Pelodiscus sinensis: one gene and its partner. The protein of the gene in region 2 purifies or fractionates together with the protein of the main gene of each other region. This does not show direct contact. Links are inferred from orthologs where the notes say so. Each region holds a gene or a part of one and is shown on either strand. Other genes may lie near its edges. The genes, in order: VPS33A and VPS41.

Region 1 (12,216 bases), on a different chromosome or scaffold from region 2:
TATAGTAATAGGAACAACAGCAGGGAAATCAATTAAAGAAATGTGTACTGTATCTCCTTTAATAAATGATTATTCTCTTGTCATCTTTGTCTTGCATTCTTGCTATTTCTCAGAAAATGTACAGGGGCACTTACTTAGAAATAAAAAAGAAATAGATAAATGGAAGAGTTCTTCCAGTGGCACGGAATGATGGGTAATGTTTCTAGAGCCCTGACCAAATCCCACAGGGAAAGACCCCATCCTTTCTGGACTGTGTGGGATTATTCTACAAGGAGGGAAACTGGGGTAAGAAAATTTCCATTTGGATTGTTGGAGCCCCAAATGTGTACTAGAACCTATTTATTTTTAATGTAGACAGGCTATGTGAGATTTGCTTATCTTTCACGGAAGATAGGTTTTGGAATGTCAGTAGATAGCAGTGAAGCTTTTTGATTTACTGATCAAAACTTAAGCTTTCTACAAAAAATTGCAAACTACAAATTTAATAGAAACATTTATTATATAGATTTTAAATTTCAGTGAAATTGACTGCAGTGGATTTAAACACTAGCACAGTGGTTAGCAGCGCCCTGGCCGCATGTGGCCTACTGAGACTCCACCTGCAGCTTGTGAACCCTCTATCTGCCCCCTCCCTCGTGGGGGTGTCTCACTCTGGGGCACTGGAGCCCCACGCTGGCTGTTCCAGCTCTGGGCAGGAGCGGGATGCAGCATGAATCAGATGATGTGGTGCTCCAAAAGTGCTGGGAGGGTGGGAGAATAGTAGGGCCCACTGAACTGGATAGCCACTCATGCAGCCCATTCACTCTTCTTGGTTGCCCATTGCTGCTGTAGCAAATGCTGTATGTGTAAAATACATGTCACATTAGACCCCTGCATGAGGGCTTGTAGGCACTACTGTCCTCCTCCTAGTTGTATTTAATTAATAATTATTTGTGTCTTGACAGATCTGCACACTCTAAGGCACCTCCTCATCGGTTTCATCAGGGTCACTTGTCTATTTCACATAAGGGAGGTTTGAAAGTTGTTGCACTATTGCTAAACATTCACCACGGATTATGGATATGAAAGGGTAAAGGAGTACACTGTTAAAAGAAGCATGCCCTCTCTCGTCCTATTTCAGAGGCAGCAGTGGGAGCTCCTCATGAGCACCAGCTTCTGGGAAGTTCCTTACCCGCCCTCCAATGCTGCTGCAGAGGCAACAGTACCACGGTGCATGGGAGCCAGCATGTATCAGCTGCTTTGGCACACCCCACTGCCTCTGACATGGAGTAGTGAGGGGAGGGGCAGGGGGACAGATGGGAGCTGGTGCACATGGAAGCTGGCTTTTCAGTTGGCTTCACACAAGCTTGCTGCCTCTGATACAGAGCTTGTGTTGTTGCAGAAGGAAACTGTCATGAAAACAACTCCCTGTTGTCAGGAAGCTTCACTCTAGAATACAGCAGGATTGTAAAACATGCTTGTCATGGCTCCTTCCCCACTCTGGCATGATAAATGCAGAAGTGGGGGCCAGCAAGTGTACCCCAAAGCCTTATCTACCAGGCTTTGGTATAAAACTTCCCCAAAAATCTTAAAAACCTAGATTTTGGGAATAAAACTTCCGCTGCCACCACCCAAATGTTGATAACGAGATTAGGGGAAAGATCATTTGGGAAATCTCACCCCATTATAAAAATCAGGACACACAAGTAACCAATGCCAGGTTAATAAAAAGAAAAGAGAACTTTTATTATTACAACAATATTCATGTTGCAAGCATAAGGATGAGATGGAAAGGCGACAAAATATACTCATGGAGAAACTCCATGGGCCTAGAGCTTAGTTACAAAGAAAAGCCAAAACATCTTTTAAACAGTGCCAGATCTCAGATCCCATACCCAACCCTTAAAACAATAAAGCCTAATGAAACTACTTAAACATTACCCTACTTACAGAAAATGAAGAATTGTTTCTTGGAGAGAAAGACCTGCTTGTCCCTCTATGTAGCTGCAGAGGACTCTCAGAGACAAAAGGGAGAAAGGAAAGAACCCAAAATCCTTTGTCCCAGTTTGAAAATCCCACCTACATTCCTACTGGTCACTCCACCTGGCTAGGTGTAGTTAACCCCTTAATCCCCAGGCTGCTGGCTAACCCTCATAATTATGACAATGCTGTCCTGTTGTATTTTTACCTGCTGAACTTTTGGATAGTAACGAACCTGGACAGAATGGGGAGATGCAGTAAGACTCAGCAGAGAGACCTTAGGTAGAGGGATGCATGAAGAAGCCTGCTTGAGCAGGAATTGTCAGAAGGCATAGAGAGCAATGACACTCAGACTGAGGCTTGAGTCTCACATGTGACTTGATGTTTCACCTTCAGCTCATGTTAAAATGCTGTGTAATTTAACTAAACAATAAGAATGTTTACTATGTTAATAACCAATTGTAGTTGATAAAATATTTGGTCAGTCATTTTGCTATGAATTATAATACAAAAATGATACGTGAATTCACACTACTGTGGCTCCCTTAGGTAATGCTGACCACTAATTTGGCTCCTGAACCACTGATTTCAGAGTATCACTGACTTATAGCCCGGTGATGGGCATCTTAAGTTAGGGAGTGGGCCACAGGAGTGGCCCTCCATCTCAGTGGGCCACAAGACTGTTGTATCCATGATGGTTTCCCAAGTTAAGATAGTTTTGCTAACTGTGCTTACATACCTAGAATTTGCAGTGTGCCGACTGAACCCTAGCAGTGCTCTGACAGGATACAGAGGGACTGCATGGCTTCTACAGTCACTGTTGTGTGCAATCAGCACATGCCTCACTTCATGTGGTTGTTACTTCAGTAATACAAATTGTGTGTGGGGGGGGGAACTGCACAGATGGAAACGAGTAGACTCTGGCAACCCTGTATCTGGACAAAGGTAAACAAAATGTCTTGCAGGCTACATACAGAACTCTGACGGATCACCGGTTGCCCAATGCTGCTATAGCATCTCTAGCATCCTACAATACTTTTCAGAAAGTGCGTCCTCAGGAAGTGGCATGTCATAAGGAAAGGGGCAGTTAAGAGCTACCACCAGTGTTTTCAAAAGTGGAGGTTAGTGTTAGGCCCTTAATCTAACTGGGTATGTCTACGCTACCACCCTAGTTCGAAGTAGGGTGGTTAATGTAGTCATTTGACGTTGCAAATGAAGCCTGGGATTTAAATATCCCGGGCTTCATTTGCATCTTGCCGGGCGCCGCCATTTTTAAATCCCCGTTAGTGCGGACTCCGTGCCTGCGGCTACACACGGCATGGAGTAGGTAGTTCGAATTAGGCTAATGGGGATTTAAAAATGGTGGCACCCGGCAAGATGCAAATGAAGCCCGGGATATTTAAATCCCAGGCTTCATTTGCAACGTCAAATGACTACATTAACCACCCTACTTCGAACTAGGGTGGTAGTGTAGACATACCCACAGTTATTATGCTGCTTGCTACATTGGCCACCTCTGTTTAGGTACCTAACTTTAGGCTCCCATGCATGAAGCAGATGCTAGCAGAGGGAGACAGAAAATGAGGAGTTATATGCAACTGAGGCTTATGATAACATATAAGTTATGACACAAAGGGGGCCCCTCCTCTAATCAAGTTAAAATGGGACATCAGAGATGATCAGAAGCAATGGTCTTAGCTGGAACCACTCACCTCTTTCAGAAATTTGCCTTATGAGGGAAAGCTAAAAAAAAATTAGATCAGCCATGAGATGGTCTGGCCAGATTTTCTTGGTTCTACCTGAGTGCAGGGGCAATGCCTAATAAGCTCTTCTGACGTTCCTTCCAGCACTATATTTCTATGATTCTATGGCTGGAACTTACCGATCAGACAGATTTATTATTTACAGAGCTTAAGGAGACTACTAGCATAGTTTTTTCCATGTTACCTCCAGTATTGGTGGTGGTACACTATGAGGCTTTTAGTTTATCTCCAAGAGATCCTGAAAAAATCACATGTCCATCTTAACAAATAAAGAGACTTATACTGGTAATGAAATAAGGTTTAGCAGTACAACTGTCACTTCGGATGTGATTTATTACTATTAGTTTATCAGTAGTTAATTTTGGGCTATAGCTTATTTGGTTTGGAGAAATGGTATAAGCTATTCTACCAAAAGCATATTACCCCAGTGTAAGTAGGCATTTTTGCCACAGAAATTCTTCAGTTAACCTAGCAACGGTGACAATAAAACTTAGGTCACCTTATCACACAAGCAGAGATGCTTTTAACAGCCCTGACCTACCTTTTTATCAGGAACTAGCCCCTTGTGTGTACAACTCTTTGCCAGACATAACTATATAGTAGAGGGATGCACTTTGTTTCATTCCAAGATGACATAGCCGTTGTGACAATGTTTTAAGCACAAATCAGCCCCAAGACCAAGACTCCAGTAAAAACCCTGCCCCATGGGTGCTATTACCTCAGTATCTCCCCCTTCTCAGTGCTGCTGCTGTTTCTCCCATATCACCCAGAGGGCAGGTGCAGTTACCCCAATACTCCCAGCTCATTACAGCAGTATCTGCCCTCCAGTGCAGTTATTAGCTCAGGACCTCCTTCCAGCTTCTTGTTACCCAGGATCCCTTTTCCCCTACTCCTTCCAGCACAGGGCTCCTACCTAGGGATGCAATTTCAGATTTTAGTGGGCGGGGGGGGGGGGGGGGGAACCTGTGCATGTAGTGATAGTGGGGGGATCAGAGTGAGGACAGCAGGTTCAGTAGTGTTATTCATCATTCTCAGTTTCCTCCCTCTGGGGCATTTGGTACTGGCCACTGACAACAGACAGGATAATAGGCTGGATGGACTGTTAGTCTGACCCAGTACGGCCATTCTTATGTACAAGCTAAGCAGTAAATTGGGGGGTGGGGCAGAACAACCCTATTCGTCCCTCCCCCCCACACACATATCAATCACTTCTTTCCAGGAGCTATTAAGGCATTTGAAAACTCTGTGTTTTTTTTGGCAGATAACTTACTAATGAGCTGACAAGAGCATTGTTTTTAATTCCTATATAAAGAAAAATATATTAAAACCATTCAGCTCCTATATGAACTTGTGAGGCAGGTCTCTTAAAGGTCACTAGCTAGGCTTAAAATTTAATGTATATTCTTTATTACTGACTCTGCAGGGAGAAAGAGGCACACAGTCAGGACTCCTGGGTTCCATCTCAACTCTGGGAGAGGAGTGGGGTCTAGTGGGTTACAGCAGGGAGTTGCTACATCAGGGTTCTATATAAGAATATCATAATGGCCATACTAGATCAAACAAATAGTCTATGTAGCCTTGTGTCCTGTCTTCCAATAGTGGCCAATGCCAGAAATGAACAGAAAATGTAATCAAGTGATCCAGCCCTTGTTGGCCATTCCCAGCTTCTGGCAAACAGAGGCTAGGGACACCATCCCTGCCCATCCTGGCTAACAGCCATTCATTGCCCTATCCTTTTTTAACTTACTTTGTTTTTATTGGAATCCTGTTATAGTTTGGGCCTTTTCAACATTCCCTGGCAGAATTCCACAGGTTGACTAAGAAGAAATAATGTCTTTTGTTTGTTTTAAATCTGCTGCTTGTAAATTTCATTGGGTGACCTTAGATTAGTGAAGGAATAAATAACCTTTCCTTATTCTATTTTTCCACACCATTCCTGACTTTCTATATTGCCAAAATATCCCTCCACTCTTTAGTCATTTCTTTTCCAAGTCCTAGTCTTGTTAATCACTCCTCATAGGGAAGCTTTTCTTTAATGCCTAAACATTTGTTACCCTTTGTGTACCTTTTCCAAATCCAATACATCTTTTTAAATGGGCTGACCAGAGCTGCATGTGGTATTCAAGATGTGGGTATGCCGTGACTTTATAGTAGAGGCAATAGGATATTTTCTTATCCCTTCCTTTCCTAACGCTTTCTAATAGTCTATTAGCTGTTTAGCTTGCCACTGAACACTGAGCATGTTTTCAATGAACTATTCCCAGTGACTCCAAGCTCTGTTCTTGATGCAACAGCTAATTGAGACCATGTTGTTTCATTCTGGCTGGGATTATAGTTCCCCACGTGCACCCCTGTGACTGTCAGTGCAGAATTCCACCTGCCACCCAGCGCCCTTTGTAATAACGATTGACCCGCCCCCTTTTCCTCAGCGCCAGTTACTCCAGCCCCTCCCCCCAGGACGCAGCGGCGCTCGTCACCACGTCCCCTGGGCAGAACAAGCCCCGCCTGTAACGGCCCTCGTCACCGGGTCACGTGGCTGCTGCGGGGCAGCGTTTATAGCCGGCTGATGCCCAGGCGCTAGGAGGCGGGGTCTGAGTGGAGGGCGGGGGGAGGAATGGAGAGCCTGGCGGGGTCACGTGACCGGCTGTGTCAGGTGATCGGCCGGGCCTGGCGGGGGATGGCGGCGCACCTGAGCTCGGGCCGGGTGAACCTGACGGCGCTGCGCGAGGCCGGGCGCAGGGAGCTGCGCGAGTTCCTGGACAAGTGCGCGGGCTCCAAGGTGAGGGAGCGCCCCTCCCCCCCCCCCGGGGCGTCAGCTGCTGCCCAGGGACTGGCCCCCGAGACCCCGCCCCCCGCTGCCCCCGGCTCCGAGACCCCCCCCGCCCGCCCGCCTCTCCCCAGGCTCTGAGCCCCCCCACTGCGCCTCCCCCCGTCCCGCTCACCCTCGGGTCCCTGCCCCCAGGCCTGGCTCCAAAACCCTCGGGCCCTGCTCTGCGCTGCCTGGGTCTGAGACCCCTGCGGGGCTGCTCCCCCCCCCACGTGGCAGCCCTGGGGTGTTAACTCTTGGAAGCTTTACACACTACATCCATGGTGTGCAGCATCTCTGAAATGTAGCCGCCTCTGTGGGGTAAGAGAGGCAGAGCCTGGGAGTACAAGTCACTGCACAGGAAGTGCCTTTCACTTGCCTTCACTAGGGCAGATAGAAAGCTCACATAATGCTCTGACCAGCCCTATAAATGGACGGACAGTGACCATGTCACTGGGTTCAGGTTCTTGACTTGATCTGAGTGGAAATCCATAGTCTTCAGCATTGTCTGTGTGGCTGCACCAAATTTCTTCCAGTGTCCAGCCATCCCAGTCCCTTTGTCTGTCTCCTTTGCTAGATTCACTGATTTTTTTTTTCTATTTAGTAAACATCTCTTGGGAAACTTAATGAGTGTATTTGAAGTACATTGTGCTCCTCTGATTCACCCAGTAATTCATGACTGACTTAAAATCGGAACTTCTCCCAAAACAAATGTTTGAGCAGCGTATCACCTTCAGTAAGAGTTTTCTTTCTTCCTTGTGTAAACTGACTTTTCTGAGGCTTTTTTCTTCCTAGGCAATAGTGTGGGATGAATACCTCACAGGACCCTTTGGATTAATTGCGCAATACTCGCTTTTAAAGGTAAGGTCTACATGACATCCATGTTGTGTTTATTAAGACTGAAATTTCAAAAAGCTCTTTGGACCCTCAGTCTCTTAATGGCTTTTAGAGCCATTAGCACAATTTCTATAAACTGTCCTAGAGTTTGCCTTTCAAATTTACCATGATTTGCTGGGCTAAGGTGTTGTCATATAGCAGATATTCCTTTTGGAATATCGCTTACTGCTCTTCTGCCAACTTTCCTCCTACAGACCAGGTATGTCGAACCTCCATCTTTAATGATAGTGTAACGCAGTAAACTAATAATTTGCATAATAAGCATGTGGAAATAGAAGATTAATTCCATGTTGTTGTCCTTTGATAAGGCATCAGAGTAACAAATAGCAGATTGGGTAACTTAAGCTGATGTAGCCCTTTCTGAAACCAATTTTCAGCATAACAAGAAGCTCTTGATTGAATATCATTTTTGTCTCCTCATAGGAACATGAGGTGGAGAAGATGTTCACCCTCAAGGCGGGACGTCTGCCACCTGCTGATGTCAAGAATATTATTTTCTTTGTCAGGCCCAAGCTAGAATTAATGGACATAATTGCTGAAAATGTGCTCAGGTATAGTTGGTGTTTCAGTGGAAAGGCAACAGCTGCATCTCAAAACTAGGTGATTGGGCCACACAGTGACAGATTACATTTAATGTTGATAAATGCAAAGTAATGCACGTCAGAAAACATCATCCCACCTATACATATAAAATGATGAGGTCTAAATTAGCTATTACCACTCGAGAGAGATCTTGGAGTTCTTGTGGATAGTTTTCTGAAAACATCTATTCAGTGTGTATGTGGCTGTCAAAAAAGCAAACAATATTGGGAATAATTAAGAAGGGGTTAATCAAACAGAAAATATATTACCTCCATATAATCCGTGGTACACCTATACCTCGAATACTGTGTGCAGATGTGACCACCTCATGTCAAAAAAGATACATTGGAATTGGAAAAGGTTCACAAAAGGGCAAAAAATGGATTAGGGGTATGGAATGGCTTCTGTCTGAGGAGAGGTGAATAAGACTGAGACTATTCAACTTGGAAAAGAGATGGGGGGCATATTTGGGGTCTATAAAAGTAGGACTGGTATCAAGAAAGTAAATGAAGGGCTATTTATTCTTTACATAAGAACTATGGGGTCATTCATTTCATTTGATAAGTAGAAGGTTTAAAACAAAAGGAAGTTTTGCTTCACAAAACATACAATCAGCCTGTGGAACTCTTCCTCAAGGATGCTGTGAAGGCCATTTTTGAACTATAACAGTGTTTTTTTTTTTTTTTTTTTTTTTTTTTAAAGCTAGATAAACTCATGCAGGAACGATCCATTAGTCGCTGTTAGCCAGGATGGTCAGAGATGGTGTCCCTAGCTTCTCAGAAGCTGGGAATGAGTGATGGGATGGATCACTTGATGATTATCTGTTCTGTTCATTCCTTCTGGGGCACCTGGCATTGGACACTGTCAGAAGACATTTGGTCTGGCCCAATATGGCTGTTCTTACCTTCCTATTCTTATATACTCAAAGCTGTGATGGTTTAGTGGGGTTCATGTTTTCTTTTTCCCCCTTTTGCCTCCCCACTGTCCCAGGTTCATACCAGGTGTCAGTAGTAAATGAAATAAGTAGGGTAGATTTCGGCCTACTCACTAATAATTAATCTGTCACTTCAGTGTGAAACAGCTACTTAACTTGGCAGGACTAAGATCAGAATCCTCACCTATAGGTACTACACCACTTGAATGCAGTCATTTCTGGGATTGGAGGTTGAGAAGCAGGTGCATAGCAACAAGATGGAGAGGGGGAATTTTTTGCTTAAAGATACCAAGAGACTCTACTCAGTTTTCTTTAATTGAACATGAATGGTTCCTTGGCAGGCAGTTCTTGTTTGAACGATCCACCCACAGTCAACTGCAAAAAGTAAAGGCAACTCTGTTTGGGATACAAACAGGGCCGGATTAAGACCTGAAGCACTGAAAAGATTATGGTGCCCCCCCCCCCCCATATGTAATTCAAAATAAAAACAATACTATACCATAAAAATCTCATCTTTTTTGGTGCCCCTGCTTTGCTGGTGCCCTAAGCATGTGCTTAGTCTGCCTATTGGGTAATCCAGCCCTGGATTCAAACCTGTGGTTCTGAGCAGCATACATCTTGCCAAGCTGCTTAGCCCACAGACCTACTGCTTAGCCTTTAAGCCATTTTGTACAACATGAGGGCTGTGTGCAGGATTGCCTTTATTAATAAGGAACTAGAAAGTACCAGGAATGTGGGTACTTCCATTTATTGCTCCTTTGTCTAAGCAGCACATCTTCTCTGTTGCCAGTCTGAGTAACCATGGTCAGCATGTACTGTGCTTCTATACGCATGACAACTTAAGCTGAGTCTCTTTCAGTGAAGACAGAGTTCGCTCTCCGCAGAGGGACTTCCACATTTTGTTTGTGCCCCGTCGCAGCTTGTTGTGTGAACAGCGGTTGAAAGATCAGGGAGTACTGGGGTCCTTCATTCATCGAGAGCAGTACAGTTTGGACCTCATTCCGTTTGATGGAGACTTGCTATCCATGGAGTCTGAAACTGCATTTAAAGTAAGTCCTGATGTTTCCCTTGAGAAAAATGATACTTTGCACGTTTGTATGGTGTCGTCACCCAAGGATCTCAACACTTTCCAGATGGATTAGCTGCCAGGCAATAAAAGGAGCTATAGAGCAAATGTGGTCAGATTCTGGTAGAACAGTGCACTTAAGAGTTAGAACTCCTGGGCTTTGTTTCTGACTGCCACGATGCACCTCAGAACGAATCACTTTAGGCCGTGTTGTGTGCCAGTTTCCCCATCTGAATAATGTGAGCAATACTTGTACAAACAGCATTTGTGAGGGTAATCTTTACAAAGAACTTCCAATGTATTGTCAAATGTGTGACAAAATGGTAAGTGTAATTGTTAGGCTGCCACACACCATAGTAGCACAAAGACTTAACACTTGTCTTAAGATGGGCCACAGTGCTGTGTCTGTATCCTGCATCACCAGCACAGCACGTGTAATGCCAATTAAATCTATGTGAGGCTTTCAATTTGTTAATGTATTGACTCAAGCCCTGGGTGAGCAGCAGAGGGGTTGTCAGAACATGATAAAACTTGCCAGCTTGGTGACACATTTTCTAATTGACTTGAGTCACCGGAAAGAGACTTTTTGTTGCAGCTCTTACTCGGCAGCATTACATATGGAGCAGCACATTGCTTAGAGGATTCTAAAATAACACATTCCCAAATAGCAATTATTAATTCTTTGAGGATAGAGCCGGCAAGATGAAGAGTTGTGCTGCTTGTGAGACCAGCTCTTTTCATTGCTGGTACACATGAATGTTGTTGCTTTCCAGTCCAGTTACTGGGCTGCTGGCTGGAGTGTTACAGCTGTGGTTTTTCCAGAAGGAGTAATTGAACTACTCATTGTAGCTCCTGGCACCAGCTATTATCTTTCCTATCCTCTTGAATGCTTCTCACTGTTAAGGTCTCTCTGCTCTGTGGAGGAGGGCTCTGGACTTTATCTCAAGGTCATTTATTTCTTCCAAAACTTAATTTGTTCTGTGCATGTCTAAATAACCAGCCCCTGCACCTGCAATGCTGTATGACTGGTTAAATAGCATGGTGAATTGTAGCTTTCATTCTCACTTGGGCTTAGTTCTGGACACCCCTCCAGTTGGCATTGCTGGAAACCACTGTCCTGTTTAACTATGAAACATATACAGGCAGTCCCCGGATTATGTACAAGATAGGGACTGTAGGTTTGTTCTTAAGTTGAATCTGTAAGTCGGAACTGGCGTCCAGATTCAGCCGCTGCTGAAACTGACCAGCGGCTGACTACAGGAAGCCTGAGGCAGAGTTGCTCTGCCCCGGGCTTCCTGGAATCAGCCTCTGATCAGTTTCAACAGGCTGAATCTGGACACCAGTTCCGACTTACATACAGATTCAACTTAAGAACCCCAGGTGTCCCCAAGTCAGCTGCTGCTGAAACTGATCAGCAGCTGATTCCAGGAAGCCCGGGGCAGAGCAACTCTGCCTTGGGCTTCCTGTAGTCAGCGCTAGTCAGTTTCAGCAGCGGCTGAATCAGGACGCCTGGGGCAGAGCAGCTGGGGTGCTGCCGGGTTGGTCCAGTAGCGCCCAGAGCGGCGCTGCGGGACCAACCGGCAGTGCCCCAGATGCTCTACCACAGGCGTCCAGAGAAAAGCCTGGTCTGCTGGTGGGGGGGCGTACTAGCTGCGCCCCTCCCCCCCGCAGAAGACCAGGGAGACGTGGGCGGCGGACCAAGATGCACCGCGGTCCCGCCGCCCGGGTCCTCCGCGGCTTTGCTCCACGTCTCCCTGGTCTGCTGGAGACCAGCAGACCAGGGAGATGGGGAGCAAAGCCGCAGAGTACGTGGGCAGCAGACAGCCCAGACGCACCGCAGCTGTCCCACTGCCGGTGTCCTCAGAGGCTTTGCTCCCCGTCTGGAGACCAGCAGACCAGGGAGACGCGGAGCAAACCCTGTTCGTAACTGCGGATCCGACATAAGTCAGATCCGCGTAACTCGGGGACTGCCTGTACTGCATGGGTGGGGGGATAGGGACACACAAGAAAGAGCAAGAAAGGATAGCTTACTCCATAGCCCCTTGACTCCTCATACATCATCTGGAAGCTTCTGTAGATGAACAGTTGGTGCAGGGCAGATATAAATCTACCCCACACTGGCTTTGAAAGTAGGATAGGTCAGCGGTCACTAGGGAACTTTTAGTGCATGGCAGCAGGCTTCTCGTGGACAGTTGATGTGCAGCAGGTT
Region 2 (11,367 bases):
GTGCTTCTGGCCAGTTTCCTAAAGCCTTCCTTCCTCCCCTTCAGGCTCACAGATTTTAAAGTGAAACCTCCCAGCAGCTGCCTTTCTGAGTGTGAGGGTGGGGCAAAGAATGCCTAGGGCTGCCTGCCGCATCCCCGGGCTAGATCCGGTGGCTTGGCGGGCCGTATTTTGCCCAGGCCTGATCTACATTGTGGGAGGGTTTTTCCTTTATATTAAAAACAGTTGCCATTAACTGACTTAAGGCCCATATCTTAGATATGTAGGGAAGGAGAATCAAAAAGCTTAAATTCCAGTGAAAGTCCACCTGCATACACACACTATTTATAGTTTTTCTCCCATGCATGGAAACTCAAACACCGGTCACTACATGTAAAAGTGAAAAGACCACTCTCATATAACAGCTGAAAGGGAGAGAAGTGCAAACAATTAATTTAGACTGGTTTAATAACCAAAGGTGTTTGTTAATAGACCATAAGCATTTTAATGATACTTTTATATTTGACTGTTTCTTTTTAATATCCACTAATTATTGGTTTTAGTAACAGACAATGGAGAGAACACAAGAGAAACAGTCTCAACCGGTAAAATCCTTAACATTGCAGAAGGGGTACAGCCTATAAATACCAACATTAGGATCGGCCTCCTCCAGAGAACTTAAACTTCTGCATGTTTAGGTATACAATCCTGGGAAAACAGTTCTCCTAAGCTCTCTTATGCCCCTCCAACCCTTTAAAACACACACACACACACCCACCCACCAATAGTCTGTCAAAAAGTATGTGTGTGTCAGTGGAGTAGATATGGAAAAGCCAATTTTCTGAAGGCTTTAAACAAATTATACTTATAGCATATGAAACTGCTACACTTGAGCTAGGAAACTTTTCTTAAATCTATTTTATTCTTGTCTCACATAAGGGAACCACATAAATGCTAAAAGAATAGAGCGAATACTATAGAGCGAATATGTGTAGAACATTCCATCTTAGAAGTAACACATACATTAAAAGAGGACTTGAGGGCCTAGAACAACCAAAATTTCAGCTGACTCCCAGCATATATCCCATCCTACCCTGTACTCATTCCTCAGCTTCCAGCAGGAAATCTCTCCAACCAATTCAGATGGGCTCATTTCTTTCTTCCACCTCTGCATTCTTCATCTTCTGAAGTGAAGCAGCCTGCACATAGCAATTAGCTGTGTGCTGACACCTGCTACCCTGACATTAAATCCTATCTCCCAAAGTTTATTGTAAAATACATTAAAACTAGGTCTCAACGCTGCCCACATTTAAGTGTGTAACACACTGCACAGGAGTAATCCCACTGGCTACGTCTACATTGGCCCCTTTTCCGAAAGGGGCATGCTAATTTCACAGGTCGTAATAGGGAAATCCGCGGGGGATTTAAATAAAAATGTCCGCCGCTTTTTTCCGCATTTTTAAATAAAAATGTCCGCTACTTTTTTCAAAGTAGGAATAAGATCCTCTGGAAAAGGGCTTTTTTTCCGGAGGATCGGGGCCAGTGTAGACGCTCTTTTCCGGCTTTTCTAAAAGCCAGAAAAAAGCGGCGGACATTTTTATTTAAATGCCGCGGGGGATATTTAAATCCCCCGCGGATTTCCCTATTACGACCTGTGAAATTAGCATGCCCCTTTCGGAAAAGGGGCCAGTGTAGACGAGCCCACTGACTATACAGTGTTGACAGGATTGGACCATAAATACATAATATTACCCACTAGCCAATTAGCCCGTCATAAGATGGGATTTTCAGGTCTCTCCTCCATGTCAGTCTTCTCTCCTGAGCCTCTGGTCTGTCTGTCTCTGTGTGTGTGTGTGCACGTGCATGTACTCCTCCTTTCCGCCCCCCCTCCAGTTCTCCTCCGCCTCCTGTCTCTCTCTTCTCCTTCTCCTCCCCCTCCTGCCTCTCACTCGGGGGACGCAGCAGCCTGGCTGAGCAGCATAGAAGTCAGCTGTGCGCCACGGCAGAAGGCGAAGGAGGGTGGGGTGGGGTGGTGACGTTCACGGCCAAGGGGCAGGGCCTGGAGCCGCTGTCATGCCGCACATCACCACCTCGCCCCCCCCTTTGCCTCCCACCATGGCGCTTGGCTGACTTCTGCGCCGCTCAGCCAGGCCGCTACAGGGGAGCAAGCGTCCGTTTAGGTTCCCCCATGGCAGCCCAGCTGAGTGGCGCAGAAGTCAGCCGAGAGCCATGGCGGGAGGCGAAGGTGGGCGGGGCGGTGACGTACATGGCCAGGCCCCGCCCCCGGCCATGTATGTCACTGCCCTGCCCCTCTTCCCCTCCCGCCGTGGCGCTAGGTTGACTTCTGCACTGCTCAGCCGGGCCGCCGCAGGGAGCAAGCAGCACAGGCTGCCCAGAGGGAACAGCCAGCATTTCAGCATTACAGACTCTCAGACACTGGGCTACTATATATATGATTACACTATTTGTAAGGTTATTACAGTAATACTCGCTTCCAGAGTCATGTACTTTTACCAATTGACAAGGCCCCATTCTAAAACTGCTGCACGCAGAGACCAGCAGAATTTGGCTCTGCAGCACAAATGTTGCACAGGCTGACTCCTGGATTCACTTCAAATGTGCTTCAGTCATGCACAGGAATCACCATAGTGGATTCATGTAGTTCAGCATTCCACTACTATATAATTCTAGGGGAAAGAACCCAGCAGCAGGCAGAAATGGGATAAACTACAAGACCACCTCCACACCTCACTGGGTTTCACCCTGATGTGCAATAGTTAAGAGATTGCCTTAAATCAAGGGTGGAAAAAGGGACCACCACAGGACCCAGCCAGTGGCTGCCCTGCCACTCCCCCGCTGCCAAGCCACTCCAGGCCTGGAGATGAGGGAGCACATGAAGTCTCCTCCTCCTAACCTTCGCAAAGGGTGCACGGCAGCTAGAAATGCTATTTTAAAAACAGACAGCATTTCTCTCTAGCTGTCGTACACATCTGGCAAGGCAGGGGGCAATAGACTTCCCGCACTCCCCCCAGCCCCAGGTCCTTATTGGTCTGGGGCTAGGGAGAGTGTGCGAGGTCTCCTCCCACTGCAGAGCTTAAAAAGAAATGCCAGCTGTTCTAAAACAGCTGGCAATTTTCTCTAAGCAAGGGGTTGGGGGGGAGGACATGACTTCATGAGCTTCCCCACCCCCAGGCCAATCAGGGTCTGTGGGAGAAGTCTCCTGCCCCTTCTGGGGCAGCCCAGGGCCACTTCAACCATTTATGAAGTGGCCCCCTTTTAAAAATGTATTGCCCACCTCTGCCCTAAATCCTAAGGCATTACAAATTTAGTATCCCTTTCAAGAAACAGAAATTATCAATGAAGATGACACTTGATAGTCCTGTGATACACATAATAATGAATATCAAACATTGGTTTGGTCTTGCAAAGATTTAAACCCTCTTCTTTGATGTCAGACTATAAAAAAGTTGTTTTTAAAAGATAAAAAATTTAAAGCAAGAGTGGGGGACCACAAACAAGTGAGAAGCAGAAAAAAAACCCAAAAAAACCCACCTCACTGACATGGCACCCTGACTGAGAAGAAAAAAAAGACACTCCCCACATTCTCCTTGCACACCAGAGCCTAGAGAGGCCCATCTAGATTTTGTGTGCTCCAGCTCTGCGATGGGGCAGCAGGGGGACTGGAGTGCAAGCACAGGGTCCCCAATGGGGGGGAAGTGGGAGAACACGCCTTGAAGGGCTAGATGCAAGCAAGGTGGGGGCTGCATCTGGCCCCTAGGCCTAAGGTTTCCCAACCCTGATTTAAAGCATAGTTCTGACCTATACCATGGAATGGCTATGAAAGACTTTAAATTATGGACAAATTCTACACACTTCCCTATACAATACTGTTCTCAAAAAGAGGACTGTCCCCATATAGTATAATATGAGGCATTATAAATATAACTTAAAGCAAATAGTTGGGGTGTATACACACACACACACACACACCAAATAATATTTATTTGGTGTATATATATATATTATATAAAATAGGTCCAACCCACAAGTCACCAATAATCTTGTTTTTAAAACAATATAAGAAATGCTAATACTGTCTTCTCATAATCCACAACTGATTGATACCAGTAACTGATCGGACACATTACTAAACAGTTAAAGTGACAAATTATAGCCACCAAAATCAGTAGGAATTTGATACAAAAAAAACCACCTAATACACGAGTGGTATTTAATAGCCAATATCTTAATCAATGTCCAAGTAGTGTGACGTGTGATTCCGTGCTCTTTCATTCGGGGGTTACGCTATTGTGTACACACAGGTGAAAGAGAACGTGACGACTCTGAACCTTCGACGGAGAGAAGCAGAGTTCCAGCTCAGTTTTAAATGGCTTCGCGCCTACACAAGGTTGGTGTCTTTACAAATAGGGGATACAGAATCAGCTCCCCCATTCTCGGCGCCTCTCTCCCCCCCAGTTCCTGCCTGTTTTGCTGCTGTCCCTTACAATACCTGACCTATCCTACTGCTGCACCCTCAGCGTCCTCCCCAATCTCCACCCCCTCCTGCTGCCCGTGCCCCGCACAACACTCTCCCCACTTTCCCGTCCCCTGCTGCCGCCCCCCATCAAGCTCTCGCTTCCTCTCTGTCAGTGAGCAAGCGCATGGGCCTCTCCGCTCCCCTAGATTAATTCCTCCGCGTGGAGCAAACACCAGGACTCCCCCTGTGCAGCTCTCAGTGCTCCCTGCTCTGGCCCAGCCTTTACCTTCGCTTCTGCTTCCGCCATGGTGCAGCCGCCTGACAGTCATGTGAGAGGCCCCTGAAAGTCAGAGGGCGGCGGAGGCAGTTTGGGTAACGTAGTTTTTCTACTTCCTCTGCCTCTGCTGGGCTTAGAGCTGGCAAAGCGCGGGCGGGCGGGCATCTGCACCTGTGTTGCCATGCCCTTGCTGGGAGGCGGGAAGGGGAGGGAATTAAGCACATTTACAAACTAATAAGGGAGTTTAATGTTTGTGCTTGCCTTAAGGACAGGCAAAACCAGCTCTTCGTACTGTGCATCATTACCATACAATAATAGTGACAGAGCATTGCCAGCCCCAACCACTGAAAAAATTAGCAGCTAGAAACCCCCCCCCCCCCCGTCTTAAAAATATTGAGCAATTTGAACTTGGCATTTTCATGCTTTTTGCCTCAACCATGAGTGCCTCCTCTTTAAAAATGAAAGTTTGAAAGCCTGATGAATTGACATGATTCCAGAAGCTGGGGCTTTAACGAAAAATACCAGTTAGGAGACTTAAAATATAATGGAGAGAGTTGGAATCTTGGTCAGTTCCATAGGAATTAAAAGCTGTTGCTAACTAATGAAAGTTTAGTAGCCCCACATAAAATGATGTTGAGAAGTTACAGATCCCATTTCTCAAACCCACCACCGTGCTTTGCATTGAATTGCAAGTTCTTCAGTTTAGGGAAAATTGTTACTATGGCTATGTCTATACCGAACTGTTATTTTGGAATAACTGACGTTATTTCAAAATAACAAAATGCACGTCTACGCAGCAAGCCATTATCTCAAAATAATGTCGATGTGGAGGACTACTTACTCCGACTCTTGTAACCCTCATTTCATGAAGAGTAAGGGAAGTCGAACAAAGAGTATTTTTCCTTCAACTTTCTGCTGTGTAGATAGCTCTAAAAGCCGATTCAAGCTATTTTTATTTCAGCTACGCAATTGACACAGCTGAAGTTGTGTATTTTAATTTGACTTTTGCCCGGCTAGGTAGACATGGTCTACATGTTTGAAGAGAGTCTAGCACATTGAGACCCAGCTCTCAGTTGGTTTCACTAATCAGAGGTCTTGAAGCGGGGACCAAAATCACCTTCTTCCAGTATTGCCAATTCCTATTATTATTATTTTATTATTTTATTTTATTTATTTTATTTTACAGGTGATAGGATTTTGATTGGGCTAGAGCAAGAGGCCAGTAAAAAGAAGTAAAGCTCCCAGTCTCCAGCAAATTTGAGCTCTGCCTGCGGGAAGACCCCCTCTAATAGCTGTCTCACTCACTTGCCCACCGCTTTGGGGCATAGTGACCAGTCAGAGCTACTGTAGGAAGAATACTCTCTTTTTTTCTCATAAAACATAAGCTCTTACCACTTATTAAAGGAGTCTCTCTATTACCTGTGTCGATCTATAATGCATAGTTTTACAGTTCTGTTAATGTATAATGGAAGATGGAGCAAAAGCATGAGCAAGTTGACTACAATACAGGTCTACAGTAGAAGCAATTTTAAAATATTTAAAATCTCATAAAGGAAAAGAGAGAGTCTTTCAACAACTGATCAGGAATAACCCTGCTACTTTTCACAAGTAGCTTTATATTTTTAATTGTCTTTAATACTGTGTGCCAAGCTGACATTTTATAGTTTAAACCCTTCTTTTTTGGGTTGGTGTGATACACATATGTGATTTCCCTTGCATGAGATTCTGGGGCATAACTCAGGCCATTTACCTAATCTCCATTATGGCATATATTTAACTGAAATAAACCAATTCGGACTAAGGGCTGGAGCCTGCACAAAAGTGTTCATATGCTTCTAAGGGATGCATGTCCACATAATAGTTGCATACTCTGGCTTTAGAGTATCAGAAAATATTCTCCCTAACATATGTCAGTATTTTAATATATACCATCTTTTCTTGTTGTTTTAATACCAAGAGGGTCTTTTTTCTTGTGTAGATTTTAAACCAATCAATTACATCTACTAAAATCTGGGAATACACAGTGAAATCCTAGCCCTATTAAAATCAATGGCAAATTGCTCATTGCCTTCTTTGGGGCCAGAGATTTCATCAAATATCTAATGGATAAGCTTTCATACTCTCTGAAAGTATGTGGCATTTTAAAGTAAATAAATACTATTAACTGATTTATAAATGCCTAAAGCTAAATGTTTGCTATGAAAATGACAAAGACCTGGCAAATTTTGGTTCTTTAACACATAAAAGAATATGTTTGTCACAGAGAAAGCAGTTAAATAACAGCTGTTCTTATTTTGACCAAACATAGAATAAGTGGTATAAACAATGTAATTTACTTACAATGTTCTTCGTTCTTATTTTTGGCAGAAAAGCACAAAACTAATTTTTGTTTGTTCATACTTAAGGTATGAATTCAATCTACCATAATTACAAGTGTTTATTGTATCAGGCAAATTTAATATTTTAACACCTGATTCTGCCTCTTGGGAGATGCTGAGAACTATTCGCTTGTAAGGTCATCAATGAGATTTGAATGTCTTCAGCACCTGAGGCATTCAGCATCTGTCAGACTTAGGCCTTTACAGAGCATCTTTCATTCTCAATCAACATTTAGAAAGAAAATACTTAGTAAGGATGTAAAATCCCATTTAATTGGTTAACTGGTCAAACTTTATGTTTAAATGTAATGTTCAACCCATAAACCAATTAAAGAAGAAGTGGGCAAAAGGGTGGACAGGGGCTGCCGGGGCAGCTCCTTTCCTATGGCAGGTGGGGAGCTGCTCCAGTCCTAACTGGTTAACTGGAACTGGTAAGCCTCACTCAGTAAGGCTCACTCACCCACATTCCTATTACCTACATTTTAGTGTAAATAGAAAGGCAATGCTGTACAGGGCAAATGTTGTATCCTGTTAAAACATGCAACAGAAATTACCATTGCATACATTTCCTTCATGGTGCTGGGGACACTATGCTTACAAAAGTGAGGGTGTGAAGGTTTGGGTCAGCCAGTTAGACAAATATGGGCCATTTGGGATGCAGGTTCAGATTCCAAACACATCAAGTTTTGGTTTAAGCATGTTTTTAGAATCAGAGTAATACTCTGGCAGTACTGCTAGTAGCAAAAAAAAAAAAAAAAAAAAAAAAAAGCGCACAGTTTTCATAAGATACTCAAATATGGGTTTTAACATTATCACAATTGGATTTTTTTAAAGTTTGTACTATCTCTTGTAATACAGAACTTCCAGTTCCATGGAGTTCCTTAGTGGTCACCTAAAAGAATGCAGATCATGTGCTGTCTACCAAGTATTCAATTACAAAGCTGGATTTCAAATGTTCCAATGTACAGATGAATTTTTGTCTAGTTTTTTTTATTTATCCTTTTATAAAGATCGGATTTGTCATTGCAATATAGGTCTTGATCCATGTTCAAATTCCAAACACCACCAGAATGCAGATCTTGGGTTTTTGCTTTCCTTTTCTCTGCCTTGAAACATGGTAATTGCAAGTATCCGTACCACTTCCTAGATATTGATGTGTCTCTGGTGCTAAGAGCACTTAGTCTGTTTCAAGTAGGACTGATTCAAATAAAACAAACTTCAGCTGAGTTATCTCCCTCGACCCCCACCACCACTCACATTGTTAAGAAATGTCTATGACTTAATAGCATTTAAAAACACTTAAGCCTGATAAAACGAAGCTAATACTGTCATCAAAAGAATAGAAGTTCAAAGGCTTTTCTCTCTTTTTTTTTTTTTTTTTTTGGTGTATGTTTGGATTTTACAAAGAAGCTTGCAAAGTCTTTTTCTTTATCGCATACCATCAAAGAATTATTTTTGTGAGTCTATTCTCAAATTGAACCCTAGCTTCTATGAAGTTAACCTTGAGCTTCTTACAAAATTGCATGCTTCATAAAATGTTTGTATTTCACATGGTAGCATTATATTGTTTTGAAATACCACCCACCTACCATCCTCTTTTAATACTTTTTAGTTCACTTTAATATATGTTTTATGAGATTAAAAAAAATTATTTCACAAAGGATGTGATAACCCTTTACATTACAAATGAGAAATATTATGCACATATTCTTTTATGATTAGGGGTTAGATTGTGAAATACTGATTGTGGCTCAGTAGCACCTTCATTTACAATTGCTCCCATTGACTGTAATGGGAGTACTTACGGGATAATATGCAATGCAGTGGGAATGAGGCTATCACAGTCTGGCCCTAGGGAAATCCCTGATCCTGTAAAGATTTATGCACATGCTTAACTTTGTGTACTTTAAGCAGTTAAGTTTCAATGTGACTACTCATATGTGTTACGCTAAGTCTATATGTAAGTCTTTACAGAATCACCATCTAATGTTGCACATAGCCATTACATTATAATCACAAAGTGCCATATGATCCCATGACTTTTATACTAAAAAACTTAACAATTTCTCTCAGAGTTAATGTTCTAGGATAACATTTTCAAACGGATCTAAGTGACATAGTAGACCAAGGTCCCATTGACTTTCACTTTAGTACTGTTGGCATCACAGGTGTATATATGCATGTGTGTTAAATTGAATAAAATACAGTGTGTGAATGCTATACTAATTGTGTTCTTTAAACAGATTTCAAAGTAATCATACCATTTAAAAAAGACGAGGTAAAAAGTGGGAGCATTTATGATACACATGTTCTACCATTACATGGTACTTAATAATTTCATTAAATTGTTAATCAACATTTACTGCAAAAGAGAAGGGCATGGATAAGAGCATGATTTCTGTTACTTATACTTTAAACCCATTGATTTATGTGCTCTGCAGTTAAGTTTTCTCAAAAGTATTCTGAATTGTCTTCAAATACTCAAGGAAAATTAGGGGAATTTTTTTTTTCATCAATTCCCTCCCCCAATCTATTTTTTGTTTTACGATTATCAGAATAAATTTATATAGAAAATGAAAAAGTATGAAGAACAGTAAATGACATAAAGCCAGTACAATTATCTATTTATTAAAGGTAAATGAGGGCTAAGCTGAAAGGGGCACTCTGAGTCCTCTTAAAAACCTAACACTTTAAAAACAGAAAGGAGCAGAGGGTAAGCTTAAGAAGGAGAGATGATTCTTGTCTCACAAGGTAAGAAACAAATATATATGAGAAACAGATGGACAGTGACAGCCAGGTCCCAAAACCAGCAGAGCCACAACAGTTGTGTTATGTAATGGAAATGAAGAGTCCTTACAGGGAAACTCTGAAATCCCTCAGGCTCATGGATCTGAGGACCTGGTGGTTTTTCCAAGGGACCACAGAGCAGGGATTTGTTGACAAGCCTGAGGACTGATGGAGGATATAGTTAGTGGATTCAAGAACTAATAACCACCAGTCCATTGTAGACCGGTTGTAACAGCAGCCCATAGATGAAGCTCTCAGCCCATGGAATATATAACTATCAAATTCCAGAAGATAGATGCCCTACTTCCTCTCTCTGCATTGGTTTATTTGGTTCCCTGTTTAAAAGTTGTTCCCTAACACTTTTTATAGAGAATCAAGATTTAATTCTGAATGTTGGGAAGAAACAGGCAAAAATGGGAAAGATCTTCCTTTTGGATTTATTAAATTTTTATTGCCCATGTTTTCATTTTGTAAAACCCAGAACGATTCAGTTCAGTGTCTCAAACATTTAGTGAGGGGACAAATGGTTTCAGGTTGAATCAGTGTCTATTTCAAATACAAATTAATAATCAAAAAACAAATATTTTTCTGGTTTGCAAAACCTTGCCTTTTGTATAATTGGATGGGTCCAACACAGCCTGGTTTTCTCTGATTTCCAAAATTCCTTATTTGTGAAAGGGATTCAGAAAAGTGGTTCCAGTTGTGTCTCATCTCAGTTAAGCTGTGCATGTAAATAGTGAACCTGCCTGCATATGTGTAAAAGGAAATCTTCTTTATAAATAGGCTATGCTTACATCTGACCTATTTGTAAGTAATGTATATACAATCTATGAACCAATATGACAATGATTAGATATTTTGAGCCTTAATGGACATTTTGACTGGGTGAAAGCTATTACAGTATTTCCTGGGCAGCAGCATCCACCACTTACACACAATAACCATATAGTCATATGTGAGGCACTATCATTTGTCTCTAAAATAAGTTCATGCTAGAATAACTGGAACATCTTAAATATCACCTTGTATTGATTGTTGATATATTTTAACTTTTTAATGGCAACAGTGTAATTGAGGAAAGTGTTGACAGTTCTCCAGACAGGTAAAGCACATTCAAGGCCTCAATCTCCTTTCCCCTGCAATGGTTTTACACTGGTGTAACTCAGTCCACTTCACTGATTTACACCAGTGGAAAGTCCCAATTCAGGAAAGCATCCCTATTTAGGTTAGCACTTAAGTACATGCTCAACTTGAATCATGTGGTTAAGTCCTATTGGAGTCAATGTACAGATATAAATATACATAAACACCTTTTTATATGTGACATTTTAATGCCTACCATAGCCAGACACATCTCCCCTCCCCCGCATTTGCTTTTTCAGCTGCAGTTTGATCAGTTTTCTGTTATGCGAGTAGCGGAACTCCCCAATAATGTTAGAGGCTTGCTAAAACCACATTGCTTTAATAGAATC

The links.
Region 1: the proteins of VPS41 (region 2) and VPS33A purify together in Homo sapiens (affinity purification with mass spectrometry; 5 studies listed by BioGRID and IntAct, counting the BioPlex papers as one, with this or other methods). This does not show direct contact. The link is inferred for Pelodiscus sinensis from reciprocal best matches to the Homo sapiens genes VPS41 and VPS33A.

Annotation. Positions count from the first base shown.
Region 1 is NC_134725.1:33,614,312-33,626,527, reverse strand, and holds the start of VPS33A (vacuolar protein sorting-associated protein 33A), read left to right. Parts: upstream 1-6,343; 5' UTR 6,344-6,399; coding exon 6,400-6,501; intron 6,502-7,323; coding exon 7,324-7,389; intron 7,390-7,848; coding exon 7,849-7,976; intron 7,977-9,800; coding exon 9,801-9,990; intron 9,991-12,216.
Region 2 is NC_134712.1:167,504,023-167,515,389, reverse strand, and holds the start of VPS41 (vacuolar protein sorting-associated protein 41 homolog), read right to left. Parts: upstream 4,776-11,367; 5' UTR 4,761-4,775; coding exon 4,740-4,760; exon of another isoform or gene 4,660-4,739; intron 4,385-4,659; exon of another isoform or gene 4,264-4,384; intron 1-4,263. UniProt on the Homo sapiens protein: Plays a role in vesicle-mediated protein trafficking to lysosomal compartments including the endocytic membrane transport and autophagic pathways. Acts as a component of the HOPS endosomal tethering complex.